Linked DNA regions of Bombyx mori. The protein of the gene in region 1 interacts with the protein of each later gene in a biochemical or structural test. Links are inferred from orthologs where the notes say so. Each region holds a gene or a part of one and is shown on either strand. Other genes may lie near its edges.

What was found.
Region 2: the proteins of AP-2 complex subunit mu (region 1) and autophagy-related protein 9A interact in a biophysical measurement, tested with the Homo sapiens proteins (4 studies listed by BioGRID and IntAct, with this or other methods). The link is inferred for Bombyx mori from reciprocal best matches to the Homo sapiens genes AP2M1 and ATG9A.

What each region holds. Positions count from the first base shown.
Region 1 is NC_085114.1:2,141,521-2,157,015, reverse strand, and holds the end of AP-2 complex subunit mu, read right to left. Parts: intron 13,362-15,495; coding exon 13,128-13,361; intron 10,872-13,127; coding exon 10,733-10,871; intron 9,295-10,732; coding exon 9,187-9,294; 3' UTR 9,173-9,186; exon of another isoform or gene 9,163-9,172; intron 8,727-9,162; 3' UTR 7,704-8,726; downstream 1-7,703.
Region 2 is NC_085107.1:14,151,468-14,167,931, forward strand, and holds part of autophagy-related protein 9A, read left to right. Parts: intron 1-1,122; coding exon 1,123-1,254; intron 1,255-2,445; coding exon 2,446-2,620; intron 2,621-3,059; coding exon 3,060-3,206; intron 3,207-3,669; coding exon 3,670-3,736; intron 3,737-4,408; coding exon 4,409-4,572; intron 4,573-5,355; coding exon 5,356-5,469; intron 5,470-6,709; coding exon 6,710-6,925; intron 6,926-8,749; coding exon 8,750-8,860; 3' UTR 8,861-16,464. UniProt on the Homo sapiens protein: Phospholipid scramblase involved in autophagy by mediating autophagosomal membrane expansion. Cycles between the preautophagosomal structure/phagophore assembly site (PAS) and the cytoplasmic vesicle pool and supplies membrane for the growing autophagosome.

The DNA.
Region 1 (15,495 bases):
ATTAACTTCGTTCTTTTTTGTTGCTTATAGGAATGCGTTCTCCGTCATTCAGCTGCTGTGAATCTTATAAAGTTATGAAGTTACTCTTGCCCATTTTTTCTGCGAGGTAGTCGCCAGTCGCCAAGTAGGACAACTATTGCACAACAGAAGTTTCAAAGTCAAGTCATTCATTCTTATGGATTCCAGAGACACCTCAAACCAAGTGACACGGAAAATCATCTGCCGATTTTGGTTTAAACAAGAAAAAGCACAAACCATAGACAAAGGTCCACTTATTTAAAATTTACCTACTACTATGTATAATTAAGACTTATCACTTATTTTCTCACTTATTATTCTAATGGCTAATATTCTTTGTAGATATGTAATTTGTAATATATGATTCGATAGTTCCTTCTCATCGGTCTATTCTTTAATGTCCTTGAACATGCTTATATTATAATATTATTGTCAATCATTACGTTCGCTCTTATTGATAACAAATTATTACAGTAAAATGATATTTACAGTTGAAATAATATTGACTGAAAATCATAATACTAAGATGATTTTTAAAAACGCACATATAACAATTCCTTTCTTATTGTATGTTTTTTTGGTTTATCTACAGAACCTACTAACTAAAGCTTACCTGTAGATATATCTGCGCATCTCAAGAAAAATAGTTTTTTTTTGTCTATATTCATCTTAAGATTCGTTCCAATCGTACGTACGCCTAGATTTGTTTTCGGATTGCAAAAACCCGTTTTATAACAATTTCTTAAGTTATTAACTTAGATTTGCTGGCAAAGCATTCTAAAGCGCACCGTAAAACGTTTTGAGATATTGGGAAATGCAGATTTTTTATTCGTTGCTAAGATTCGAAATCAATGACCAAGCTTAACTGGTAATGTTTTGATTTTAAACGTAAATCTATGATTTTCTCTATAAGTTTTCTTTTACTGCTTGGTTTCAAAATCACAATCAAATTAACCCTTTCTTAAAATAAAAACAAACCCTTTCTTAAAATAACAAACAACCTTTGACACTTTTGAGAGATCAAACCGAATCGAAATAGAAGTCCACAAATGTAATATTTAATTTGGCAAAGGATAAATAACATTGTTACTGGTGGTAGGACCTCTTGAGAGTTCGCGCGGGTAGGTACCACCGCCCTGCCTGTTTCTGCCGTAAAGCAGTAATGCGTTTCGGTTTGAAGGGTGGGGCAGCCGTTGTAACTACATATACTGAGACTTTAGAATTTGTATCTCAAGGTGTGTGGCGCGTCTACGTTGTAGATGTCTATGGGCTCCAGTAACCACTTAACACCAGGTGGGCTGTGAGATCGTCCACTCATCTAAGCAATAAAAAAAAAACTGATTGTTTTGATTTTAAACATAAATCTATGATTTTCTCTATAAGTTTTCTTTTACTGCTTAGTTTCAAAATCACAATCAAACAATGCCCTTTCTTGAAATAACAACCCCTGACACTTTTGAGAGATCAAACCGAATCGAAATAGAAGTCCACAAATGAAATATTTAATTTGGCAAAGGATAAATAACATTGTTACATGTTTCTCATAAAATAAAGTGATAAAAATTTAGAAAGTTTTTCAGCTTCACGCTTTGGACATTTCGGCTTTATTAATTCAATTGATTTCAGAACATCTCATCTTTTTTCACGAATCTCCAAATGGGGCGTACGGACAAATGACGCCAATTATATAAAACATAAACTTTTTGTTACGGATATTAATTAAATTACCATTAATATTAATTAAATTACCATTAATATTAATTAAATTACCATTATACCGTACCATCCGGCTATGGAATGAGCTCCCCTCCACGGTGTTTCCCGAGCGCTATGACATGTCCTTCTTCAAATGAGGCTTGTGGAGAGTATTAAGCGGTAGGCGGCGGCTTGGCTCTGCCCCTGGCATTGCTGAAGTCCATGGGCGACGGTTACCACTCACCATCAGGTGGGCCGTATGCTCGTATGCCAGTAGGGCAATAATTTTTTTTTAAATCAATGACACGATCACTACGTTTGTGATTTAATTAGTTTTCGCGTCAAGCTTAAAAGCAATTACAATGCATTATTCCGTAAATAGCTAATCATTGTTTATTAATATACGATCTGTGCTTCTTCTTTACTCAATCGTTTCATTCTTGACAGAGTGGTCCATGGTCGTCACGTGCCGTTGAAGGGAGCAGACTTGACGCGTCTCATGATGTTTCAAGATTTCTCTCTCTGCTCGAGGTCATACTACTTACTGCACTCTATAAGAAATTTTTCAATCTAGTCCTGTAATTTTTCGTTTGTTCTGGCCACAAATGACGTCAAACATAACATTACTTTCAATCGACTTTTGCAGTCTATGCGGTATTTTTTAAAAATTTGAACCGTTCGTCTCTGTGTTGTATTTATAATAGTTTACTTCGACCCATTGAAAAGCGTGTCCTAGGTATATTTATTTTAAAGCTAATAAAGCTATATTTGTTTCTAAGCTATTGGTGTCCAAAACAAAGCGATATTATCCAATTAATGAAAGAATTATACTCTTTTAACCAAAAATTTTCGTGATTCTTAAACGTGAGCTCAATCAGTGAATTCAAGTAACCGGTCTCCATTTACTACGGCTATAGGCTGCCCTTATCCTCAGTTAAAATATCTCCGTGTGAAACACGAAATTGAATTATGAAATACGTACTCAACAAATGTTCACGATTGACTTCCACGGTGAAGGAATAACATCGTGTAATAAAAATGAAACCCGCAAAATTATAATTTGCGTAATTACTGGTGGTAGGACCTCTTGTGAGTCCGCGCGGTGGGTGTTGCATTTACGTTGTAGATGTCTATGGGCTCCAGTAACCACTTAACCCCAGGTGGGCTGTGAGCTCGTCCAACTATCTTAGCAATAAAAAAAAAAGACGGAGTAGTATGAAATTTCTCACACTTATTGAGTACGTGTTTATAGAGAAGAAGTGCAATATTTTTTTAAATTATGCATAAAAAATACATTAAGTCAATAAACGTTACACACACTACCATGTATGTTGACACAACACATACCTATACTCTTTATTGTCAAGCATTTGTTATTGTTTAAATTGAGAATAAACTAATATTGTTCTTCTTTAATGTTATTTTTCTATAGTGTAGTCTTGGCGAAATCTGTGATTACAGAAGTACAATAATGTTGAAACTTAAAATCTCAATTAATTATAGTCGAATTTCGACTACCGAAGGACCCCTAGTAGTGTTAATACGATAAAGTCTGAATATTTCATTTGGTTATGCTGTTAGTCTGTTTTCTGTATAATGAAGAGTAAAATAAACAAATATGTTCGTTCATTTCGCAACATTACCGTTGGGATTCGTAACTCGAGCAAATATAAATGAGTTGTACATAAACAGGGCTCGGTCGCGTTTTGTATAATTAATTAATATCTGAAACTTAGGACCGCAACCTCTTAATTTTACTTCAGGAACAAATCTCTTGCCTCAGTCACGCTCCGCCAAGAAAAATCGTTCTTCCAAACTTGATTCCCTTGTGTGGCGCTTGGTGAAGTTACGACTGCACGTCTTGTGAGAACGCAGGAAGTATTTTTGAAATTTTAACGTAAAAGACGAATCTCGATTTTGAAACAGTGCGCTTAGTGAGAGTTTTTTAACTTCTCGATCGCGTAAAAGTTAACTCAAATTTGTATGGAGTTGGAACGTTTGCCTACGTTTGCCGCTAGGGGCGCTGTTCCACTGATCTGCATACAAATTTGATTTAACTTTTACGCTATCGAGAACTTTAAAAACCTCTCACTAAGCACACTGGTGAGGTGGCGAAACCGCTTTCTTCTTTAAGGTCTTGAAAGCGTTCCCCCTATCGCGATCCCCGAATCTTGTCTTTTCTTACGACAAAGATAAATATTAGGTCCTTACATATGAAATTGGCGTTTTGTACGGGAGGAATACAAAGTCATATTTTTTTTGTTGTAAAATGTATTTAATTAATCAAAGTATGCACCGTTGTTATCTATGCACTTTTGCCATCTCATAGGTAGTTCATTGATTCTTTTACTAAAAAAAAACCATGGTGGCGAGAATCAATAAACCCTTTGAAGGCGGTTTGGACTGCCGCGTCGGAGTTGATTTTTTTTTGTAAGTTTTTTTTTTTTTTTTATAGCCCTATAGGCAGACGAACATACGGCCCACCTAATGGTGAGTGGTTACCGTCGCTCATGGACGTGAGCAATGCCAGGGGACGAGCCAAGCCGCTGCCTACCAAGAAGTTGTCCAAATTCGGGAAAAAATATTAATCTGTTGGAGCTAGTTCCGGAGAGTACGGTGGATGTCGCAGACATTCCAATTGTAGCTCATCTAACTTAGTGGTTGTTTGTTGTGCAGTGTGTGGTCTTGCGTTGTCGTGAAGCAGCAGTGGCTTAGAGCGATTGACCAATCTCGGTTGTTTAGCAACTAGTTCTTCCTTCATGGTTTGCAGTTGCTGACAATAGATATCTGCCGTAATCGTTTGGCCAGATTTAAGAAAGCTGTAGTGAACGACACCGGCGCTAATCCACCAAACACTCACAAGTAACTTTTTCTGAGTCAATTTTCATTTAGGGCAGGATTTGGCTGGATCTCCGGGGTTCAGCCATTGCGACGAGCGCTTTCGATTATCGTACAGTATCCACTTTTCATCACAACTAATGATTCGATTTCTTCTTCTTCTTATCAGCCCATGGACGTCCACTGCTGGACATAGGCCTCCCCCAAGCCTCGCCACAAAGACCGTTCCTGCGCTGCCTGCATCCAGCGGATCCCCGCGAACCTCAATAGATCGTCGGCCCATCTTGTGGGAGGCCTACCCACGCTACGTCTTCCAGTACGCGGTCACCACTCAAGAACTTTCTGGCCCCAACGATTTAGAATCCCTTAATTATTGTGTCCATTGAGCAAAGTAACACAGCAGTCGATGCGTGTTTTCAAGTTCGATTCACTCAATTCATGAGGTAGGTACCCATCGTTCAAGTTTTTTTTACTTTCCCGATTTGCTTCAAGTGGATTAATACAGTTTTATCCGCTTATGCTTTGTGATGGATCCGCTTCCGCAATAGCATTTAATTCTTCATTTTCCACTTTGGTCTCCGGCCGTTCACGGTTGGTTCTGAAGGTCGAAATTTCCAGAACGAAAACGTTGAAACCAAAAAGCGTACCGTGCTTTCTTTTGTGACACCAGCGCCCTACACATCATTAATCCTTCGAGTTGTTTCTGCAGCACGGATCCTACCGTGGATCCGTGCTGCAGAACTCATACTCATACTCGTAAATATGCAGATATTTCATGTTTACCATTACGCAGAATTAAGCGACGCCAAAGAAAAAAATTATGAGGAAAAAACAAATGAATGACTGTTTTAAATGAATTTATAAATTTTAATTTGGAATTCTTAATCAAAGCGGAGATATTTCAGATCAAAGTGGTCAGTAGGACAAAACGCTAATTTCATATGTAAGGAATTAATATACCTAGTCAGGTCATAAGTATTGTCACACAGTAAAAACTTTTCTTTTAGAATGCTGGCCACAAAAAAGTTTATTGAATTCGAATTTCGAATTGTTCATGAAAATAAAAATGTATACTTTTAGAATTTTACTCATTTTTAAATATGGAGTGGATGCTTAAAGAAGACCGTGTTGCAGTTATTGCGTTGCATCGTTGCGGTTACGCGCCAATTCAAATTTTTAACATACTGAAAAATTTGAATATAACCAAAAGATTCGTTTATCGTACCATCAAACGATACAATGAAGACTCTAGTGTAGATGACAGGTCAAGAAGTGGTCGCCCTCGGTCTGTTAAGACTCCAGCAGTGATAAAAGCTGTGAAGGCGCGAATTCAAAGAAATCCCAAACGTAAGTAGAAACTGTTGGCCCTTCAGATGGGGTTAAGCAGAACCACGGTGAAAAGGGTGTTAAATGAAGACTTAGGGCTTCGGGCATATCGAAGAAAAACAGGACATCGTTTGAATGCTCGTCTAATGGACCTGAGACTGAAGAGATGCCGCGCTTTGTTGAAGCGGTACGCGGGAAAAAAATATCGGGAAACTCTTTTTTCGGATGAAAATTTTTTTACCGTAGAAGGGAGCTACAACAAACAAAATGATAAGGTGTACGCACACAGTAGTGAAGAAGCGAGCAACCGTATTCCGCGTGTCCAACGAGGTCATTTTCCATCCTCGCTCATGGTATGGTTGGGAGTTTCTTATTGTGGCTTAACAGAGGTACATTTTTGTGAGAAAGGTTTAAAAACGAATGCAGTTGTGTATCAAAATACAGTCCTGACGAACCTTGTGGAACCTGTCTGTCATACCATGTTCAATAACAGGCACTGGGTATTCCAACAAGATTCGGCGCCAGCTCATAGAACGAAGAGCACACAAGACTGGCTAGCGGCACGTGAAATCGACTTCATCCGGCACGAAGACTGGCCCTCCTCCAGTCCAGATTTGAATCTGTTAGATTACAAGATATGGCAACACTTGGAGGAAAAGGCGTGCTCAAAGCCTCATCCCAATTTGGAGTCACTCAAGACATCCTTGATTAAGGCAGCCGCCGATATTGACATGGACCTCGTTCGTGCTGCGATAGACGACTGGCCGCGCAGATTGAAGGCCTGTATTCAAAATCACGGAGGTCATTTTGAATAAACTTTAGTGTCATAAGAATCTATGTTTTGTTAAGTTCAATTTGGTATATGAATGGTTACATAATGAATAAACTTGTTTCAATTATTTTACATTAAACATGTGACAGAATTTATGACCTGACTGGCTCCAGTAACTACTAAGCAATAAAAAAAAAGGTGGATGAGCAAGGGCTCAACGAGGAGTGAGATTTGTTAACAGCTACCCGACCGCCTCCAAAGGAGACCTAACAACTTAAGAGTAACTGCTTCGTGAACGAATCTACTACCGGATCGGAATCGTGACCCACTGAGAAGATAGGCCAGAAACTCAGCGAGCTGATGGTGAATGGGTTAGGTTGCACGTTGAACTATTTTAAGCGGTAGGCAGCGGCTTGGCTCTGCTCCTGGCATTGCTGAAGTCCATGGGCGACGGTAATCACTCACCATCAGATGGGCCGTACGCTCGTGTCTACAAGGGCAATAAAAAAAAAAGTTCGACGAGTATGGTTACCGGGGTTCCTAAGCCTACTCGTAGTGTTAGCGCTGAAGACGTCTAATGCAAAGGTTATTGGATCTGATGGATCCGTAAGGACGTGTCTAGGGCGTCGACGGTGACTGGCTCCTGCATGATCAGGATTCGGGGAGTAGTCAGCGGCGGCAACGATAAGGCGATTATCATGACGCATAGCCTTATCGAAGTACCGTTCCGACGCTGACTTCATATGTTTCCGGATGGATTCGAGGTCCAAGTCGTCATGTAGGTTAACGTTCCTCACGAACCACGGAACTTCAACGGCTAACCTGCAAAATCGGGATTGTAGGGATTGGAGGGTGTACAAGTGTGTGCGGACCGCGTGAACGAATTATTTTTCCCCTTTACATATACACCTCTGATCTAGATATATACGATATGTAAAATTTTCCGGTCTTTTGGGCCAATATTGATTAACCAAATATAAATTATGATTGTCTCACTAAATATGACGTCACACATGCTCTAAACCCGATTTCTGGTAAATAAAACAAATGCCAATTATTTTTTTTAATTCTTTATTATATACTTTCACACTACACTGTTACACGAATATATTAGTATGGTATAATATATTAATTATAAATATAATCAAATATTTAACTAGTTGCCTAGATTTTCAAGACATAACGTTAAGTTCGAACTATAGATTCAATTAATATATAAGGTAGAACAGCGTACAACAATAACTACTTCTATATACTCACAGCATCTACGGGAATGGCTACAAATAACACAATATATTTATGCATAATTTTTCATCGAAAAGCTCAAGAAATGCTTTAATTTTTCATTTTGAGATTCGACACAGATAACCGACTAACTTTAAGGTTTATCTATCATAGGAAAAGCTTATTTTATTTTAACTACACCGCTTACGTCACGATAATATATATATATGTAATATACCGTCTGAAGTTTTTTAGGTATTTGTCTCATAAAACATAGCTGTGACAATCTTTATACGACTTAATAGTAATTACTTCTGTGACGGTCTAGATCAGACGGGTTGGTAGTTTTCAGAGCTATCGTTATTTAGATTAGCTAAAATGTTATTCGTATGATACAAAATATATATATATAAAAGTAAAATATTAGAAACAAACTTGTAATGATGTAATGAATAAATAAAAACTACGCCTTTACTATTTATTTTAATAAAACATAATTGAAACCTTACCATTTTATTTGATTTTATACGAAAATTAAAAATAATTACTTAGGGTATATCTTTTAATGTTCAAGACTGTAGTCTATTCCATGTGCCTTTCAAACATTTTAAAATAAAAGCAACATTTTTTTAATTAAGATATTCAAAGCAATAAAAAAAAATGCTAAATTTACTAATAAAAAAAAGAATAAAAATAAAATATTATTACATTATTTTATTATGAATATTCCCTAATCGAAATGAAACGTAAAATTATATACAGCATAGCTATTACATTAAATTGTATTTGTATGGTTTGTTTTTTTTGTTGTATTTTTCGAATATTCGTACTCGTTGCGATTCACGAAGCCAATCTGTAACAAAACAATAGACTATATCGAACCGGCTATTTGGTTTAAGCTCTACGCTCTACACTCACTCCTCTCTCTCTCTCTCATATCGTCATTCACACACTCCATCCATGTCTTCTTCGGTCGGTTCTAGTCACTGGTGGTAGGACGTCTTGTGAGTCCGCACGGGTAGGTACCACCACCCCGTCTATTTCTGCCGTGAAGCAGTAATGCGTTTGGGTTTAAATGGTGGGGCAGCTGTTGAAATGTCTGTAGACTCTGGTAACCACGTAACACTAGGTGGGCTGTGAGCTCGTCCACTTATCTAAGCTATAAATAAATAAAATAGGTGACGGCATTGACATAGCTGATGTCTGTAGACTCCGGTGACCACTTAACACCAGGTGATGAGCTCGTCCAGCCAATTTAGCAATAAAAGAACTCCTGCTTCTCTACTTACTAGTACTCACCGTCGCCGCGTCGTTCAGCACCTGGTCTCGTAGAGTCCGGAGCGTCCGATGTAGCGCACCCACTTGATGACGTCATGGTCCGAGTAATTCAGCTTCGGTTCGAACACCTTCAGGTAGCGAACCTGCCGACCAAACGCGCCCTTTTTATTTACTACCGAAGCTGATGGTCTAGGGAGAGACCATGTCAGCGCAACCTTAACTAGTAGGTGAGCTCACGGGGCTCAAACCTGACGTCGTTGCTAACACAAACCTTAGCAAGAGCCGTGCTTCGCAGAATCTACCACCGGATCGGAAACGCGACCCACTGAGAAGATCCGGCGAGAAACTCAGTGGGCTGTATTTATGGGTTAATTCGCTCGTCGAGCCCTTCGTCTCAAGCGACGGGTTCAACGAGAACGATGACTGGTGCTTGAGGTACCTAAAAGCCCCGTTAGTGGATCGGGAGGATCCGTAATGACGTGTTTTGGGCGATGTCGACTGTTTACCATTCGGTCCATAGAATCGGCTATGTAGTTATTACAACGCGCCCCCAATCACAACATAGGAGCACCTGAATGATATAACAATGAGGTTTTTAGAGAGTTTTAACTGTGAACGTGGAAGGCTTTAAAAGAAAAGGTCGACCTAAGAGGAAATGGATGCTTTGCGTGAAAGACGATATGTGTAAGGGGGGAGTGAGCGAAGTAATGGTATATGATAGATGTTGCGCTGGCCCCAGGTGACTGGGAGAAGGGCAGGAGAATGATGATAACGAGAACGGCCGACGTGCTACATCAAGTCTCTTCTTGAAGATTAAATAGTTTGACATCTTTGAACGTGTGTATGTGATAAAACCCTTCTTGAAGTGAAACTTCTTTAGAATCGTGATTTCAAACTCGATGAAAGGAAAAAATAAGTCCATAGACACAAACATATAAATGTATAGGATTCAGCCGGCGAGAGAATGAGATAGAACACATTAGACGTTCTCGGTCTCCTCTTTGTGCGACTCTTCGTAGCATCCCCACCATCGTCTACTTAACATTGTCCATATGTAAGCTCCTGTGTAATGGGATAGTCAGTATATCTAAGTCAGTATATCTATATCTTTTTTTTTTGCATAGATGGGCGGACGAGCTCACAGCCCACCTGGGGTTAAGTGGTTACTAGAGCCCATATACATCTACAACGTAAATGCGCCACCCACCTTGAGATATAAGTCCTAAGGTCTCAGTACAGTTACAACGGCTGCCCCACCCTTCAAACCGAAACGCATTACTGCTTCACGGCAGAAATAGGCGGGGCGGTGGTACCTACCCGCGCGGACACACAAGAGGTCCTACCACCAGTAATTACGCAAATTATAATTTTGCGGGTTTCATTTTTATTACACGATGTTATTCCTTCACCGTGGAAGTCAATCGTGAACATTTGTTGAGTGCGTATTTCATTAGAAACATGTCGCTTAAACCAAATGGCCTTTCACTTCTCGATATGTGATTTTTATTAGCCCCTTATTTTTAAGCACAACTCTCTAATGATTTGTGTAGCTCGTTGGTCGTGCACAACAACAAGGATCACCTTGAATCCGGAGGGTGCAAAGGGAACTTCGAACCCCATGGAGATGGGCGGGCGCGTCCACTTCTTCTTGGTGTCGGTCTCGAGCAGCTCAATCTCCGCAGACAGCTGGGTCTCCTTCATGCCCGCCATGCGCTTGATCCTGAACATTTTCAAAATTCATTTAAACCGTTAGCACGATTACCTACACCAAAGTATATTTTGGAACGAAGTTCCTTATGGGACGATGCAGAGGGGTACCCTAACCGGGAAAAAACGTCCGTAACGTAAGATTTTTATTATTTACTAGCAACCCGCCCTCGCTTCGCTTCGGAAACATTAAATTTTATTATTGATAGTTGAGTCCCGCAACGTTACCCGTGGTTACTGTCGTACTGCGGGTGACGCCGCGGGGCGAAGCTAGTCTAAAAAAAACCTAAGTTACTGCTTATATCATCAGCTACCTATCAGTGAAAGTCCCGTCAAAATCGGTCCAGCCGTTCCAGAGATTAACCGGAACAAACAGACAGACAGACAAAAATTGTAAAAAATGTTATTTTGGTGTATGTACCGTATATAACTAGTCAGGTCAGAAGTATTGTCACACAGTAAAAACTTTTCTTTTAGAATGCTGGCCACAAAAAAGTTTATTGAATTCGAATTTCGAATTGTTCATGAAAATAAAAATGTATACTTTTAGAATTTTACTCATTTTTAAATATGGAGTGGACGCTTAAAGAAGACCGTGTTGCAGTTATTGCGTTGCATCGTTGCGGTTACGCGCCAATTCAAATTTTTAACATACTGAAAAATTTGAATATAACCAAAAGATTCGCTTATCGTACCATCAAACCATACAATGAAGACTCTAGTGTAGATGACAGGTCAAGAAGTGGTCGCCCTCGGTCTGTTAGGACTCCAGCAGTGATAAAAGCTGTGAAGGCGCGAATTCAAAGAAATCCCAAACGTAAGCAGAAACTGTTGGCCCTTCAGATGGGGTTAAGCAGAACCACGGTGAAAAGGGTGTTAAATGAAGACTTAGGGCTTCGGGCATATCGAAGAAAAACAGGACATCGTTTGAATGCTCGTCTAATGGACCTGAGACTGAAGAGATGCCGCGCTTTGTTGAAGCGGTACGCGGGAAAAAAATATCGGGAAATTCTTTTTTTCGGATGAAAAAGTTTTTACCGTAGAAGAGAGCTACAACAAACAAAATGATAAGGTGTACGCACACAGTAGTGAAGAAGCGAGCAACCGTATTCCGCGTGTCCAACGAGGTCATTTTCCATCCTCGCTCATGGTATGGTTGGGAGTTTCTTATTGGGGCTTAACAGAGGTACATTTTTGTGAGAAAGGTGTAAAAACGAATGCAGTTGTGTATCAAAATACAGTCCTGACGAACCTTGTGGAACCTGTTTCTCATACCATGTTCAATAACAGGCACTGGGTATTCCAACAAGATTCGGCGCCAGCTCATAGAGCGAAGAGCACACAAGACTGGCTGGCGGCGCGTGAAATCGACTTCATCCGGCACGAAGACTGGCCCTCCTCCAGTCCAGATTTGAATCCGTTAGATTACAAGATATGGCAACACTTGGAGGAAAAGGCGTGCTCAGACTTTTTGGCGGGAACGCGAGGAGTGAAGTTGTGTGATTTGTTTTATTTTGTCTATTTAGTGTTTCTTCAGGTTTAAATGTGTAATAATGGTGGTTTGTTAACTGTTTAATATTTGTGAAAGTGCACAAATGTGGGAAAATGAAACAAAGCTGCTGGACGTAACTTCTCGGGTTCCTCCAAAAAGTCCACTGAAAAAATCTCAGTAAATGACCACCATTTTACTGCGATTATATTTCATCCCATATCATTTCATTTCATTAAATTTCATCCCAGTTGATTAATGTCTCAAATTAATCATCTTCATTTAATTTCACTCCATATTATCATTTTTCATAAAATTAAGAATATAAAGTAAAATAAGACATGACTTAAAGGTCTTAGTTACCAGGACATAAAATCTCTTAAAAAAAAAAAAAGGCGTGCTCAATGCCTCATCCCAATTTGGAGTCACTCAAGACATCCTTGATTAAGGCAGCCGCCGATATTGACATGGACCTCGTTCGTGCTGCGATAGACGACTGGCCGCGCAGATTGAAGGCCTGTATTCAAAATCACGGAGGTCATTTTGAATAAACTTTAGTGTCATAAGAATCTATGTTTTGTTAAGTTCATTTTGGTATATGATTGGTTACATAATGAATAAACTTGTTTCAATTATTTTACATTAAACATGTGACAGAATTTATGACCTGACTAGGTATATTCATATGCATGTAGTTAAAAGCGGTTATATCAATATTAAAAACGGACACTCCAATTTTATTTATATGTATAGATAGATTAACAAAAACCCTACACTTACTTCCACACGATAGCGTTCTCAGAGGCTTTATACTTCGCTTTCCCCTTCAAGCAAATCAGTTGCACCCCGCTGGTGTTCAGCGGAGTTGGAATCTTCACTTCGATCTTCTGTCCGAGCAGGGAGGGCTTGAAGTTACTCTTCAGCACAACCTTGACTTCCATCTTGGTGCGGCCCACCTCCCGCACGAGCGGGATGACGCGGAACGGCAGAGATATGTCTTTTGTTGTGCGATACCTGTTGATAATATTTATATTTATTTATTACTAGGTTATAGTTTCTTATTACTAGGTTAATTTATTTAATTCGGTAGGCAGCGGCTTGGCTCTGCCCCTGGCATTGCTGAAGTCCATGGGCGACGGTAACCACTCACCATCAGGTGGGCCGTATGCTCGTCTGCCTAGAAGGGCAATAAAAAAAAATACTAGCGACACGCCCTCGCTTCGCTTCGAAAACTGTAATTTATTATTGATTTCTCCACTATTTAATGGATGTTATTATACATATAAACCTTCCTCTTCAATCACTCTATCTATTAAACCGCATCAAAATCCGTTGGGTAGTTTTAAAGATTTAAGCATACATAGGGATAGATATAGGGACAGAGAAAGCGACTTTGTTTTATACTATGTAGTGACTAGGTAGTAGAACCTCTTGTGAGTCCGCGCGGATAGGTACCACCACCCTCCCTGTTTCTGTCGTGAAGCAGTAATGCGTTTCGGTTTGAAGGGTGGGGCAGCTGTTGTAACTATACTGACCCCTGTATCTTTAGTCGTTCACACGAGCCTAACTCGACTCGACTCAACCTCCAACGCGCGTTTTGGTATAGTAACCGGCAAACTTCTTGAGCAAATGACCTTGACTGCGCAGAACCGAATTTTAGATTACTTTGGTGGTGAGGGTGAGGCTCGACGGCAGGGGAAATCGTATCGAGCGCGTTATTGGTAGATCAGTCGAACCTTGCGTCCCGCACCGCGCCCTCGTTCCGCTTGCTCCCAAAAGTACGCTTGCGTTCAGTGAAAAGTCTATCGTTATTAATCGTTAAGTTATTTGTTATAATTGCTTGTGGACTTAGTTGCCATTGCTATTTGTTGAGTGTTTGTTGATTTTTTATAAAACAAACACTATGCCGTGAAAAACTGGTGTAGTATTCAAAAGAAAGAGTAGAAAATTTGTGTACGACGTATATTGCTTCATTGTAAAACAGGGGAAGAATGATATGGAAAAATTAAAACAGACTTCGGAAGCAACAAAAACATCAGTGAGTACTGTTAGGTGCATTATTAACGAAGCTAGAGGCTCTGGCTTGCTCGCCGTGTTTCGGACTCCGGGTAAGAAAAGATCAGGGAAGAAGAAAGTTACCGGAATGGATAGTTTCGTTCAATCTGTAATAAAAAGATGTAATCATAATAACTACATAACAAGCAGCGAAACTCCGTACCGTAGAAAGGCTTCGAAAAATTTAAAGAAGATATACATTTTAATGGCTCGGAATGAAGCTTACGACGAATTATGAAAGAGCTAGGCTTCAGATGGAAAAAAGAACAGAAAATAATCGGAAGCTGGTAATTGAAAAAAGTAACATTCGATTACTACGAATCAAATATCTTCAAAAAATAATTAATTATAGACAAAAAAGAAGACCGAATCGACCGAGTTCTAAACTACGCCGATGAGCCCTATGTCGACTCATCACGATGATAGCGACTCGGGTGATGAAAACAGTGATGATGATGATGGTCAAGATAATGATAACGAAAAAAAAAACTACAAATACCAGCTTCGCTTCAACTGAACCAAGACCTGGCAACAGCTCTAGTTTTGACTTAATAGAAGGAATATCTATTTTATCCCAAGATTAAATCATTACAATTATTAACCTATATGTTTTGTTGATGTTCTAATAAATATATAAATAAATACATATGTTGATTTTAATAATTTAATAGCATTATGACGCAGAGTAAGTAATGTTTTTGCACGTGAGTGTACCATGCGCGAACTTACCCCCACTACGTCAGCAAATGCTCAAGAAGTTTGCCGGCTATTATATGCTTAGTCGTAAAAATAAACTCCACTCAAACGTCCTTGGAAAATTTTCCTAACCGGAGTGAAGTAAGCGAACTGTCAAATCAAGGTACGTCGCGACGTACCTTGAACGTTCTTCAAGGCTGGTTTTCTATCAATGTCCAAATAGTATGTGGACCGCATATGGAAATATATGATATTGTTGCGCAATGGCCTGGATCTGTGCATGAATCCCGCATATTTTGATAATTTAATTTTGATAATATTTATTAATAAAGTAAATAGTTCGAGATTAAGAATCTTGTTTAGGCTCGTGATTAGACATTTGAAACTCTTTATTTTA
Region 2 (16,464 bases), on another chromosome or scaffold:
CAACCTTAATTTATAGACATATGCTGTCGCGGACTTTTTTAGATCTTTTAAAGGAGAACAATTCTCTAATACATACTTTAGCGAAACTTTAACCGTTTCCATAGCGCAGGCAGTGAAAGCTCTCAAAAGAAAAAAAAACCCGATTTGACACATTCTTTATTGGTGCTCCGCTTGTATTGGTCTTAGCGTGATATTATATAGCCTATGCTTTCTATACTTATACTAATATTATAAAGAGGAAAGATTTGTTTGTTTGTTTGTTTCGAATAGGCTCCGAAAGTACTGGACCGATTTGAAAAATTATTTTTCCATTAGAAGCCGACATTGTCCCTGATGAACATAGGCTACTTTTTTTTAAAAAAAATATTTTATTTTTTTGGTTTCATGTGTAATTTAATGTTTCCGAAGCGAAGCGAGGGCGGGTCGCTAGTCTTCAATAAATGGGCTACTTAACATTGAAAGAATTTTTCAAATCGGACTAGTAGTTCCTGAGATTAGCGCGTTCAAACAAAAAAAACAAACTTCAGCTTTATAATATTAGTATGTAGTATTATGTATACTATAGTACTATAGTATGTGTAGTAGTATATAGTATGTATGTAGTAGATTTGCTTCTTTCACTTATTTTATTTTAAATCGTATACAAATATAGTAATCTATACCATACTAATATAATAAATGTGACAGTATGAGTGAGCTAAATCATGAAATATTTTGGCTCATGCTCAATGAATTTGGAAGAAATTTCTCATACAAATAATTTGCAACCTTGATCACACAAAGCATAGTTTACACGTACGATAGTGTGTTCATTGGTTCGTCATATTACGTAATGGATCTATAAATCGATTGGTAATTTATAGACATGGGAGAGTGACGAAAGCAAGTTTTTGTGTTGATATAATGCAACGTGTTTTATTTTGAATAACAATTTTAAACACACAGATAAAGCCAGCGGGTGCATCTTGTTAAATATTTATTTTTTATTTATGTTATATATTTACAGTATGTTACAGGTTTTATTGACGTTGTTGATCAGGCGTGTTTAAATCGCGTGCAGTTGTCATCAGCTAAAAACCAGGATGTCTAGGATATTTTAGAGATATTGTTTTTTTTTTACAGAAATGTAGTGTTTCTCTCGGCCAGCGTGTTGGGTGTTTTGGTCTTCCTGTCCGTCTATGATGAAGACGTGCTCACTGTGGAACACGTGCTCACTATCATAACGGTTCTCGGGTGTGTTGTGGCCGGCGCAAGGTAAGAGTAGTTAAATACTGTTTTATGTACTTATTTATTTAGGCATTACTTGATTTCGTGCATACTGATAAACACTAGAAGAACATTATACATCTAAGTATCGCTTAAGATAATAAAACCTTATGTACATTTACAATGGATATAATTCCGTGTTTAGACAAATATGCGCACGCTTGTTCAATAGCAGTAACAAAAAACGAACAAGAATCATGTGGGTAAGGATTATTTGTCCAATATTACATAATTATGTGGGAACGAATCTAGATTATGTTTTTAAGTTAGTTTTTTAAGAAAATGATTTAGTAGGATATGTGTAATTGATGTGAAAATTATATCCATTTGGATTGAATAGTTTAATTTCTGCAATAAAGCCCATGATCCCAATTCAATAATTCCAGTGCGCATGATATCTTATTTCCTCGTCAATTGTCTCAGCAGGATTCGAGTTATTAGAACTCAAGCCTCAAACATCAGCCACGGCCAAATTTAATTAAACTAGTGGTCCCACAGTAGTCGAAACTCGACTATAAGTAAATGAAATAATAAGTTTAAACATTATTATAGTTCTATTGTCAAACACTATTATACTTCTATAATATAATCTTCCATAGATAAATAATATTAAAGACAAACAATATTAATCTATTCTCAATTTGACAAAGACTTTAAACAATAACAAAAGATTGAAAATTGACAATAAACAAAAAGTAATTTATGTATGTATGGGTTGTGTCAAATATATTATGGTAGTGTGTGTAATATTTTTTTAATGATTTAATGTATTATGCATAATTAAAAAAATATTAGCATTCTGCACTCCTTCTCTATATTCGCTATAAGTGTGGGAAATTTCATACTCCTCCCTCCGCGCAATTTTCGTTAAAAAGGGGTACAAAGTTTTTGCTTCACGTATTAATATATCGACGCTTGAAAGGCAAACGTGGCTAAGCGACAATGCGTGATCTTTACAGTAGACTAATTTAAAGTTGAAATACCTAAAAATCTATTTTAACGAATCTAGCTGTAAGATCTGAATGATTTTAATAGACTTAGATAAATTTTTTTGCGTATTGAATATGGTTATTGCCTATCATTTATGTATAAAGCAGTTATTGTCGCTTAGTCACGTTTGCCTTTCAAACGTCGATATAGATTTAACCACATGGATTCGTTTTGAAACGTGGTTTTTAGGGCTCTAATAGGCGACGAAGAACGTCTGGGCGGTGGTTGTACGGGCCCGGCTCGCGGCGAGGAGCTGTTTGTTCAAGTACTGGGACACGTTCACTATTTGCCAGCCGCGTGGCGCGGTAGGGCCCACACGAAGGACGTCGCAGCACATTTTCAACAGTTGTTCCAGTTTCGGGCGGTACGTTGTTTTCCGAATTTATTATCGGCTTGTTTTTTTTTTTTTGTTAATTTGGATGCCTCCGCTCGAGATGGGTTAACAGATCGGAAGTGTGAATTTCGTTTGGACTGTGACCAATCGAAATCATTTAAACCAATTTTTTTTTGCTATATGCTGATAGCTTTGTGAGGCTATTTCAGCGTAACCTTAACTAGTAGCTCACGGGGCTCAAACCGGAGTGTTGCTAACACTGACCCTAGCAAGAGCAGTGCTTCGCAGAATCTACCACCGGATCGGAAACGCGACCCAATGAGAAGATCCGTCGAGAAACTCAGTGGGCTGTGTCTGAGGGTTAATTTACTCGTGGAGCCCTTCGTCGCAAGCGACGGATTCGAAATTATTTGTTTAATGTGAAATTTTATTATCGTGTTTTTGTTATTTATTATATCTTATACTGCAGGTTTACATAATATTCGAGTTGTTAAGTCCTCTGCTCTGTCCTCTCGTCCTGTTGTCGCTTCGGACACGAGCACTCGACATCGTCGATTTCTATAGGAACTTCACAGTCAACGTGCTGGGTATCGGCGATGTGTGTTCATTTGCGCAGGTAAATATCTAACTAATATATACATAATATATATATATATATATATATATATATATATATATATATATATATATATATATATATATATATATATATATATATATATATATATATATATATATATATATATATATATACGTTAGGAATATGTGGTAAATAACATTTAAACGTAATAATTCTCGTAGTTACGACGTTTTATTTAATTACTCCAATAGCGCTCATATAGTGCCCTACCATCGTCCTCCCCAAATTAAATAAAAATTATGCATAATCACTAATTGTTATAAAAATATATACATAAATATAATTTTTTTTCCTAAAGAAGTTTGTCGTTAATTTTTCAGTTCATAAATTCAACTAAGTGTGAAGTCGGTATTATTTATATATTTATATCATAGAATTCGAGACAACATTCAACGTAAAAGTCATTTAAAAAGAAAAGCATTTTTGAAAATCGTTTCAGCTGGATATACGACGTCACGGTCATCCTGAATGGCAAACACCAGGGAAATATGCTGAAAAAATGAACGGTTCGTTGTGATTCTTATTTTTTTAAATGAATAATAGAGAGGGTAGTCCACAGATGTTCAAATTTGACCATAACCAATGTAAATTGGAACTCAATTTTTTATTACTCAAGTTTCTCGTTTATGATAATTTTTGAAGATTTTAATCAATTAATTAAGTAAATTATTACAGTCCAGTCCAGTTTTATTGGTCTTCTAGGTTAAGTGCTAATTGCAAACTAATCAATAAATCGTTTGTTGAAATTGTAAATAATCAGAGGGTCAGTTTGGACGCTGTGATTCTGTATAAAGTATGAATTCAATCAGATAGTAAAACACCATTTATTAAGGGATTTGCAAATTTATTTATAGAGGAAAAAAGTGTTAAACCATATTTTGTATAACTCATATTTCTGGTGGTATTACTGGTGGTAGGACCTCTTGTGAGTCCGTGCGGGTAGGTACCACCGCCCTGCCTATTTCTGCCGTGAAGCAGTAATGCATTTCGGTTTGAAGGATGGGGCAGCCGTTGTAATTATACTTGAGACCTTAGAACTTATATCTCAAGGTGGGTGGCGCAGTTACGTTGTAGATGTCTATGGGCTCCAGTAACCGCTTAACGCCAAGTGGGCTGTGTGCTCGTCCACCCATCTAGAAATAATAAAAAAAAAACAAAATATTTACTTATCCCGATAGGCAGTACGCAGTACGATCAAGGTGAAGGTGGGAAGACTGAGTTGTCTCTGGTAGCGTTTTCATGTCGGCACCCAGGCTGGCAACCCACAGAGCCATCGCAGAGGTACTTCCTAAAATCACTGAAGCAGAGCATGTACCAAGCGATTCCTTCCAACAATCAACTCGTAAGTGTAATATTTTAGACTAAACACTTTACAAGCTTATTCTCTCAGTGTGTAAGCATATAATTGGTCGTATGAATTAAAATTAATATTATATGAATTAAAATAAATTATATGAATTAAAATAAATTAATAAATCTCAAATATTTTTAAGAGGATTAGAGTATACACTATATTATATTTTATTGTATTTACCAATTACCAATAAATAGGAATAAATTATGAATATTTATTTAATACCAACAATTTATTGAAATATACACATCTATCTATTTATTTTGTATAACTTTTAAGAAGTAAATATATTTGTACATCCAAAGTTTTAAAAAATAAAACGGATGTTTCCTTTAGATGCTTAGGTACAAATTGATCTGAATAAATGGACGTATCACAAATGTAAGCTTTACAGAATGAACCTTCTGTAGTTTATATTCTATTGTTAACACTTTCAAATAAATAAAAAATAATGCATTTTAATAATCTAGAATAATGTAAGGATACTAATGAATTGTTAATTGAATTAAACAAACATGAGACATTCGTTTGAATTCTTAGTTTATTCACGCGTGCTAAATATTTTTTATAATATTTACAAATATGTATGTTTACAAATTCTATAATACATATTTACAATGGAAATATAGCTTACATTTTAAATTGGTACAAAAAATTATAATAAAGTGATAACATGGAGACGATTAAATCACAAATTGATGCAAAGCATATTTTACTAAAGTAGAAGGTTGATTTTTTTTTTTTAACAAAAACATATTTTTACACTTACAGAATAGAACCATGCTTGGTTCATATATCCAGCAGAGTCTGTTCGGTGCTGTAACTCCACTTCCAGCCGTACTCTCATATTATCCGCAACAGACCAAGCAGAACTACAGGTTACCAGTAAGTAAAATAGAATATTAATTCAGAACAATAAATAATAGTTTAAAAAAACTAAAGAACACGCTTTATATAAAATTCAACTAAAAATAGGAAATAACAACTTTTTTTTACACTTTTTACTCGATAAATCTACAAAGTTTGAATGAAATCTGGCCGTTTAAAGTGGTTCAAAGTCGCGTCTAAAGAACTCAGTTACAAACATACAAACATACATACAAGTGAAGCTAATATAAAGCGTATAAAAATAGATTTAATTTCAAAACGCCCCATCAATAGTTATCACTACACCGATCGGACTTTGTATCGAAGTTTGACTACACGTACAGGATCGGCGTGAAACGTAAGCTCTCGCTGATCACCAAACATATGACTGTAGAATTTGAATTTCATTGAATCACTACTAATTCTTATTGGAATAATTGAGTCTCATTCATCTGGCCAGAGATTGAATACTATATTAACGGTTTCAATCGAGTTTCAATAAAGAGCGGACGGTTAGCGTGGTATGATGGACATGTGAAGCGTAGAGAGAAGATGCATGTGACAAGGAGATGTATGGAAATGGTAGTGCAAAGTAGAGGGGGAAGAGGTCGACCGAAGAAGACATGGATGGAGTGTGTGAATGATGTTATGAGAGAGAGGGGAGTGAGTGTTGAGATGACGGCTGATAGAAGAGAATGGAAGAGAAAACTTAGTTGTGCCAAACCCATCTAGACCCATCCCATTAATAAGGTGAAGAAAACGAAGAATATTAACGGTTTTTTTATTGTTTAGCTGGGTGGACGAGCTCACAGCCCACCTGGTGTTAAATGGTTACTGGGGTCCATAGACATCTACAACGTAAATGCGCCACCCACCTTGAGATAAGTTCTAAGGTCTCAGTATGGTTACAACGGCTGCCCCCCCACCCTTCAAACCGAAACGCATTACTGCTTCACGGCAGAAATTTTTTTTCGAAGAATTTTAATCAAAAAGTTGTGTAGAGTTTAGTATATTTTTCATTTTTTTTATTGCCTTTTAGGCAGATGAGCATACGGTCCACCTGATGGTAAGTGGTCACCGTCACTCATGGATGTCAGCAATGCCAGGGGCAGAGTCAAGCCGCTGCCTACCATAAAATATAATATCGAACATGGATAGAAAGATGTAAAGATTACGATATTTTCCCCTACCATCGATTTCAGTAAGAGCGAAATAACTGATAAATGAGAGTATGTCTAATCGAAAGATACGTTTTCAGGAAATGGACGAGCTGAGTGATGAAGAGGAACCGCCGATCCCGGGGCCCGCTTCACGTTCCGCAGCTCGTTCGACGTCCTTAGGTCTCGCTGGTGTCAGTTCGGCTCTCGGAGTCAGCGCCGTGGGGCTCGCTCCCCAGCAGCAGCAGAAACCGGGCGACGACACGCACGACATGTCCGTCAGCACGCTACATCTATACGACTTGCATCTGTCGAAGGTATGTGTCGTGGCGGGCAACCTCTTTGATAAAAAAAAACCCTTTTGACAGGTCATAAGAACTACAATTTTTTTTTGAAGGGATTTTATGACCTGGTAACCAAGACCTTTAAGTCATGTCTTATTTTAATTTATATTCTTATATTTATGAAAAATGATAATATTGAGTGAAATGAAATGAAATGATAAGAAATGGTATGGGATGATATATAATCTCAGTAAAATGGTGGTCGTTTACTGAATTTTTTTTAGTGGGCTTGTTGGAGGATCCCAAGAAGTTACGTCCAGCGACTTTGTTTCATTTTCCCACATTTGTGCACTTTCACAGATATTAAATGGTTAATAAACCACCGTTATTACACATTTAAACCTGAAAAACACTAAACAGACAAAATAAAACAAATCACACTACTTCACTCCTCGCGTTCCCGCCAAAAAGTCCTAAGAACTACAAAGACTAGACATAGACACAGATTAAGACAGACATTTCACAAGAATTCAAAAATAAAGAGTGTAATGGAACGAGGGCGTACGTGACTAGCGGCAGGTGGTACATTTTTTGACTTCCTAAAAGACGGACACAAACGAGACGACAAGGAATGAATTGACCGTTCTCATCTATACTCTATACTAATATATATAAATCTACAGGGGTATTTACGGATGTTCCGTTATAATTACTGAACCATGCATCCGATTGACTTGAAACTTGGTATTCATGTAGAAAATACATGTACTTAATGGACAGATTAATATTTATATGAGTGTTGGACTCTACACCAGTACAGTTGCGGGGGCGTTAATGATGAGAATCTTTGTGGGGGTGAGAAATAATAATGTTAATTTTAAATGCCCAGCGAAGCGGACGGGTACAGCTAGTATACATATAAAATAGTCGACAAAAGAACGAATCGACCGTTCAAGTGGTCCTCCTACCGTTCAAGTGATCCTTCGACCGTTCAGTATGAATTACTTTTCCTTTACCCGATAGTCCCAAATATAGTCCCAATACCTAAGGAATCTGAGATGCTAAGACGATATAAAGATAATTCTCGGTACACGATTATGTCGCTTCTCGATTTATTCTCGAGAGGTCCGACTCAACTGACTCGTCTGTAATTCAGTTCTGTATATTAGACGAGATAACAGAAAATATATATCGAGGGGTGAAAGGCTATTTGATTTAAGCGAAATTTCGCTTAATACGAGACATTTATCTTTGTAATTAAACGTCGGGCTTTTTTAGTCGGGATTTATTTTTTTCCGTCCAAGGTGTCATTAGTACTCTCGTCTGTCTTCATTTTTGGAAGCGGTCTCCTAACACCCAGTATATCTATATATTAATACGTGAAGCAAAACTTTGTACTCCTTCTTACGAAAATTGCACAGACGGAGGAGTATGAAATTTCCCACACTTATAGAGAACATAGAGGAGTGCAGAATGTTAATATTGTTTTTAAATTATGCTTAAAAAATACATTAAATAAAATAAAAAATACATTACAGACACTACCGTGTATTTGACAAACACACGCATGCATACTATTTGTTTATTGTCAAACTTTTCTTATTGCTTATAGTCTGTGGTCAAATTGAGAATAGATTAAATAAGGTTTGTCTTTATTAATATTTTTCTATAGTGTAGTCTTGGCGAAATTTGTGATTACAGAAGTATAATAAATAGTTTTTGAAAATAGAATCATAATAGTGTACAAACTTATAATTTCAATGAACTATAATCGAATTTCGACTACCGGGGGACCACTAGTGTATAATATATAAATGTGTGTGGTGTATGAATATTAAAGTTATCCTAATATTTCAGGCTGGCCCAAGTGAATCCGCGTGCTGCACTAACAACTGCAGCGGGCGACAGCGTGACGAGGGCCCTTACCACTGGGGCACCGAAGAGACGCCTCTCCTACACCGTCCCTAACATTGGACCTTGTCCTCGCCCTGCGTCCCGAAGCATCCAGTCTGGGTGTAGAACATCGCAGCGCCGAGGCAAAATCGACGACCGGTATACTATGTTAGTGTCTATTTTAGATAAACATGAAACTGTTATTTGCGTTCTTTATGCCCTAACATACGGGTCTGGACTCTAATACTGTTTTTATGTAAACGGTAAAGTGTGTGTTTTTGCGTTTGGATGCGCCATTATTTCATCGTTAGTCGTCTGATGTATGACGATTAATTTGGTTTATTCGCTGTTATGATACGACCGTTTAGAACGTAGCTGTGGTCTCGTTTGGATTAAAAAAGAAAAAAATATATTTTTGTTTTGTTAAATTTTCATTTATATAGACCGGTGGTAGTGGTGGCTAACAAGTTGAACGGTAAACGTTATTAAAATTATTAAAAACTGATGACTCGGGGTTAACGTTCGTACATGTGTGGGGGTAAGCATTCGCCAGCCTTCATTCGGGGTTCATTAACTGAGGTTGTTGACTTGTAGGTTTTGTACGTTTTCCAATGACGGCTCCGCAAAATAAAAAGTAAACTACACTGATTGAATTAGTTGACTCCCAAGTTTTGTACGCTTTCCAATGACGGGTTCGCGAAATGAAAAGAGAAGTGATAATGATATCGATTTCTGGATTAGAATTAGTACTTTGTTTTCTTTTTTTTGTTAAGGTACCATATTACTTGAGTCTTGTGTTTAGGCCCGGTTTCTTTGCATTCTGCGTTTTAAACGTAATACCAATATTTCAAAATAAAAGTATAACCGTACAAACATTTAAAATCTGTAGCAAACGTATAAAAAAGCTAAAGCATTTTTATTGAAACAAAATGAATAATTAACAAATTTCTAATTTTGTTTCTATCAAAGTTGCCTTACTCTGACTTGTTGCTCGTCTTACCACTATCACTAAATAAAAACAAAATAGAATGGCACGTGAGCTCTTTATGTCAGATTCTTGTTTGTATTGCGAAGTGACGTCACCAGTTTTGGCCAACACATTGGTGAGCTTGGTCAAATCACGTCACCAATTTGATGAGATCGAGTATTTTTCTAGCATAATGCAAACGATACTAACAGGTCCGCATTCTAAAGTCGTATCGTAAAACAATATGTAACATTGATGAGGTTGGTTACAGATTTGCGCGCCCCTACTTAGAATGTGTTTGCGGATAAGCATACAAATTTGATCCGCTTCGATTTGCCCAAAAGAGTAATATATTTTTTGAGTCACGTTTTGAGGTGATTTTTTACCATAATAGTGGTCAAATTACGACGAAATTTCTATGAACCCAACCACGGATAGTAAGGTCGATTGTTTGTAAAGGAATTGTTGCATGACGTGGATTTGACATTTAGATGAATGCTTTTCAAAGCTGGTACTCAAAGCGCTTGGCTTTGTTTTTCTAAGCACGTTATTTATGTATTTATGCAAATCTGTAACCACAGTCTGTATTGATAACATTTTGAAAAAAATGAAAAAAATATATATTTTTGTAATTGTGTATTTTTCGTAGGTTTTTGATTTGATGGAACGCATCTGTCATTAAAATAGGGTTATAACACAATATGACGGTTGCAAGTGAATACTCAATTCAAAGCCGGTTTGCATAATACATTCGTGTGTGCTAGCTCTTGGATGCTGATCAAATTGATTTATGAAACAGGATAAAAAATTAAAAAAAAAAACGTTCTCATGATTAAAATGTGATAGAAAAAGTGAAAATAAAAAAAAAAGCATCTTAATATAGAATACGTAGTTGTTACATATTTTTCGTATACTTCTTTTAATATATATATACTCATTCCCAAAGAAGCGATGTAATAAAATTGATAAAAAATTAATAAAATTTATTTCTTTACATATTATGGCTTTAAAGAAACAAAAATGGTTATTAAAGCAATACTAGTCTAAGTGTAGTTTTTTATAGTAGTACACGTATTGCAAAGCTAAACATTGGCTCAGATTTTTTCACATTTCTTATTGAAGTGCGAATATTAGTAGACAATGCTACTCTTACATTCGTTTCGAATGAAGATGTTTAATTGCTTTAGTTGAAAATCGATGCATATTTTAATAGATAAAAGAATTTGATTACTGTACTTGGGAATTTTTCATTTCTTCGTTTTGTTTGATTCTCTATAAAATGTAAACACGTCAAGAAGTGGATTTTAGTAATTCGTTCCTTTTTTTACCCACAAAAATAAAGAATTCCTAATTTTCTAAATCATGAATCAAGTTTTTTTTAGATCATTATCGCATTGTAAGCTACGTTTGCAAAACTAAATTATTCATATGTCAACCTCGTTCAGCATCAAGTCTAAGAACTAAATTGATTCAGGGATACAATATCCAAACAATGGTGGCCACAAACAGTCCTACTCCAGAGTAGGTTAATTTCTGGGTCAGCAGTTTCGCCGAAAATTTCCTCAAAAACATCACATTAACCTGCTACAGCTAATTCTTAACTAATTTTATTGCATTAATACAAAGTTTTATTAAACGAAACTGTTTCTTCGGCAACAATAACACTAATCACCAAAATAAAAATTGCTCCTTAGAGATAAATCAGGATTACTACTAACTTCCGCGATAAAAAAAAAAAAAACGAATGGTGAACTATATGTGTGATATTGGTATGCACCGAAAATTCGAGGGTTGTCGTCGCAGCCAAGTCTCTTAAAGATTAGACACTAACGATCTATTTCTTCTCTATAACACCAGACTTGACACAATTAAGGCCATGAATGCCCACCTTTTGGTACTTAAATCGTTGCTATACCAAAAATACGGCACAAGTCAAGTTTGCTTACTTTTCAGCAAATAACCGGAGACACATTTAAAGATTTTTCAAGTTACAAGTGTTCGCTTTTCAATAGCTAGTAATATCTGTTTAAGTGTTTGTTTCTACTGAAAACTAAGCAAGTATGAGTGATGGGTTGATATTGTCAAAAATTTGCATCACAAGATGACGGAGTATTCGTTTCGATTTTGACGTTCTAATTTTGACAGCTGTCAATAAGTAGAGATGTGCAAACGCATTTCTATAATACTAATAATATGAACTAAGAACCGATACAAAAATATATCTCCTCTGATGTGTTTCTGCAGTAGATATTGAGACAATATTTTTCACTCATTTCTTGCTCTGTCGGTTGGCCTTATTTATTCGTTGTGATATTTTCAGTCGAACTTGTGATTTAATACTTATATAAATGAGTACTTATTCTACAAAGATCGGTTGGCAAACAAAGCGAGCGATTTATTTCAAAATTTTGCATATTATCGTGTTTATGAAAAAGATATGAATACTTATTTTTGGATACCTATGAATATTTTTCAAAATTTTTGTAATCGTGAAAACTTTGATAGTAGAAAAAGGTAAAATCATAAAGAAAATAATATAAGAAGTTTTTGTGGAATACCTTTTTAGGTCACAAATCGTGTTCATAGAATCTGAAGCAATGTTATATTAGGTGAGTTTATTGATAATGTTAACTCTTTTTTATTTCGACACTTGGGAAAGAAATGATTGTTTGAACATCAGTAGGGAATACGTAAGAACGTAGGGTGCGCATAATGCTGCTTGCTCGCTTACGCTAAATGCTCTACTTGGAAATATAAAAACGATATCAAAAAATTAAAAAAAGAGGTATTTGTTCGTTTAAATATCTTTTTTATATCCATGTAAATTATAGAAATATTTTAGCAATTACAGAACGAAAGTTATGTTTGAAAATTATTAAACAAAAACAGTGATTACGGGAACATTGTCAATTTCGATTTGCTAAGATGTTATAAAAAAAATAAACTTTAAAGCTACGTAGTACGAATATGCTTAGTTTACTTTTAAAATTTATAATGTAAGGTTGTGCTTAACAATATTTCAGTACAGCGAATATGTAATTGTAGAGAACACGAAACCAAATCCTATAAGATAAACATTTACGAATAAAGACAAGGAAGGGCTTTGAAGTATGTTCTTGATTCAAATTTAGTATTTGTGTAAATATAGTAATAAAAAAAAATTTGATCGGGCATTATTTTAATTGGGCTGTGAATTATTTGATATCGAAGTTGAAATTTTACGTACAAAATAGCTTTATCTGGTATTTTATGAGACTTTTTATATATTGGAAGAATAATGAAATGATAGAAATCAAGCTAGGGCAATCAATATAGGTGTTTCAGTGGTAAATTAAATGAGAGTATTACAGCTTCTGTGCTGATTAAAAATTAAAGATCTCTTTTTGTTATTGGAACCCATGTTTGACGAAAATAAGTGCATTACTCTTTGAATAATAACTCTATAATTATTTATTTCCTTGCACTTATACCTTATTGTTGTGCTGTTGCCAGTTCTCTCTAGAAATATTTCTCTTTAATATAGTAGTCTGTGGTTTATTAACCTTAAAAGAACGATACTACATGATGTATTATAAAAAAAAATCTGTTTAATTTTGATTTTGTTGATTTCGCAGTCTATCCTTTTCTAGTAATGCACAAACGTGTTTACTCGTATATTTAGTTAGACATTTGGCGTGGAAGATTTGTAGTCGTAGTTTTATTATTAAAAAAATATGTACATTTTTATGTACTTAGTTGATTTTATTTTTATATTTTTTAACAATGTCATGTAATGGAATGGAAAGGAATGTTGTTTGTGATGTTTTATTTTTATTTTGTTGAATCCATGATGATGAAGTCCATCATTTAACTATGACGGGTAATTTACTAACAGTGTCTAATATTAAGTAATTAAAAAGTTAGTAATATCTCGGTAATGACAAATTATAATAATACGAATATGTTGACCGTTACAGTTAAATTTTGAATCTCATCCTTTAGTTTTAATGTTGAGTGTCCATTTTAATTAAATATCTAAATATACATGCGCCTTTTATATCGAATTCTCCCTTTAACTAACGTAATGTATAATTATATTTTCAATCTTAATTGTATATTTATAATGTTCTATGAGATTTATTGTAAAAACAATGTTCGAAAATTCCCTTAACTGAATTTTTATAGTTACGGCATTGAGTCTTCTTGGTTTAAATCGGTTTATTAATTCAGGAATAGTAAAACATTTGTCAAATAAATTAAATTCGATGTTTATTGGCTAAAAGCTGAGCCGAGTAGGCATTACTCAATTACGTAATATTATGTTATTAATGAAAATGAAAAATAACCTATCATATTAAATTATGTACTTGCACGAATAATCAACTACATGAGCAATACGTATGCGCAGGCATTTGACAGTATTGCCATATTCGTCGTTTGGAAATGTTTGTTGCTACAAGACAAAAAGACAAAAGTTGCGCCATGTTGTCTAATGTCAAAATTTGAAATGTTTAGCCAAGTTAGTGTATATTGGCGATTGGTATATTATCAAATTAAATTATCTAAATTAAGTTTCGGTGATCAGTGAAAAAAAACAACTGAACAATTTTGTTAACAAAATAACAAAATCTTTAATAATGTTGTTGTGTGCAGCGGCCGATCATCGCGAACTATGATAATTTAGATTGGGATTTAAGAACTTGAACGACCATACCGTTTATAGATTGCGTTTTATTCGTTGAATAGCTTTCATCACATGTTTTCGAACAGTTATTCTTTGAAAGGCTACAAATTGAAACAATTTAGAGCTCTTTTAAAAAAATAATTTGAAAAAGCTTTCAGTGTTGGTTACACGCGTTGCGTTTTTAACTTGCTTGGATTTGTCGAATCGCGGGCGTTATCACGAGACGTCAAACTTTTGAAATGTGACGTAAGAGTGGTGACGTAAGAAACGCTGGTACGGTGTGAGTAGCGATCAGGATAGTGGCTGACAGCATCAAACTTAAAGTTATCCGTGTGTGTTCATGTGGAATTAGCGGCGGACCGCGCGTCGTGACTACGGTGCTTTGTCATTTCAACCGGTTTGTTCTTGTTGCCTAACGCCTCGCCAAGAGCACAGCGCTCGCGATCTATATGCTACCAAGCACTTAGACGTAAACAAAAAAAGTATTAAATTATTTTTATGAAAAAAACAAAAAAAACGACCAATTTCGAAATACATTTGCAATATTTAATCTACCTCTTTAACTGTACTAGATAGAACTATATTATATTTATATAATGACGTTTATGTATATTTTTTTAAATGCGTATGAGCGAAGCCCTATCCGATGTAGGTCGAGTCAGAGTACAATTAAAACGTCATAGAAACATATAAATACAGATATCGATAAAAACGGTTGTTGTGAACGTTTCATACACTTTTGGTCAAAAATTATGTGTAATATATTCCGACATTTCAATTTAGAACATTATTTATATAGGAATTATTAAATTATAGAATTCACGAAGTCACATGCATGTGAAATGTTGAATGCATGTTGAAATATAATGTTAAAAACTTAACATTTAATTATTTGAGGTTATTTTTAGTGGTGATTTTATAAGCAATATTAGTTGGCACTGTTTATAATCGTAATGTTATGCGTAGCTTATATTGACGTGGAGAAAAAAGAGGATTGTGGATTTAATAATAAAATGTATTTTCATTGCACCCGAATGCAGGAAAATTCATGAGATTGTTGTCTTTAAGCACTAAAATCCGATATAAAATTTTCGAGGGTAGTTGTCATTTCACAACAGTATTTATTTTAATATAAACGATTGACTAATACCATTTGGGCTGTATCAGCGATAATCTCTAGACGGCTGTCACAGTTTAATCGTATTTTGTATTATTTGTCGACGATATATTTAAAAATTTCATAATATTTTTCTATTTCTTCACTATAAACTTTGCGCTGTACGTACTCTCAATTTTAATAATTACAATTACATTTTTGTAGAGTACTAGCAAAATGTTATACTCAATAAAGCCATTTATCAAGCGTATTAGGTATTAATAAGAAAAAAAAAATTAGCGAAAAGCTATAAATAAATACAAAAAAAAAGATATGTACGAATAGCTATTACGGTTTGAATATTATATTATATTTATAGATTAGTCTTGTGATGTGTTCATTTTTAATATTTTAGTGCCATTTTACATTGGCACGTTTCTTATAATATGTGTGTAATTATTTAGTAATTTTCGTCGGTTAAACTGTCATGTATGTACGATTTGTAAAGTTTATTTGTAATCAAACAATATTTGTGATTGAGGAGCATCTAAACAAAAATAAAGACATCAAATATCGCATTATTTTTGGTAATTATAATATAAAATAATCTTCATATATCTTAAGAATTTTTGATTTTAATATGAAACGAAATCTCCCCGTTGTTGATAACACAGTTACAGATTCTTGTTTCCGGAAAATTTGGTTATTTATGTTCAGATCAGTGTAATGAGAAACGTAAATACGGTATATTTAAATTGCCACAGTTAAAATTAAATGTCAAAATATAATTTGTCAGTTTTTGTTCCGACTCTCGTCAATATTACTACGTACAAGGCGTATTGGGAAGTGTTCTTGAATTCCTAACTGAAAATAAATTGGAAGTATCATTAATGTATTAGAATAGGGATAATTCGTTTTAGTAAGATCCGGTGAGTTCGTGTATCGTAGTCACT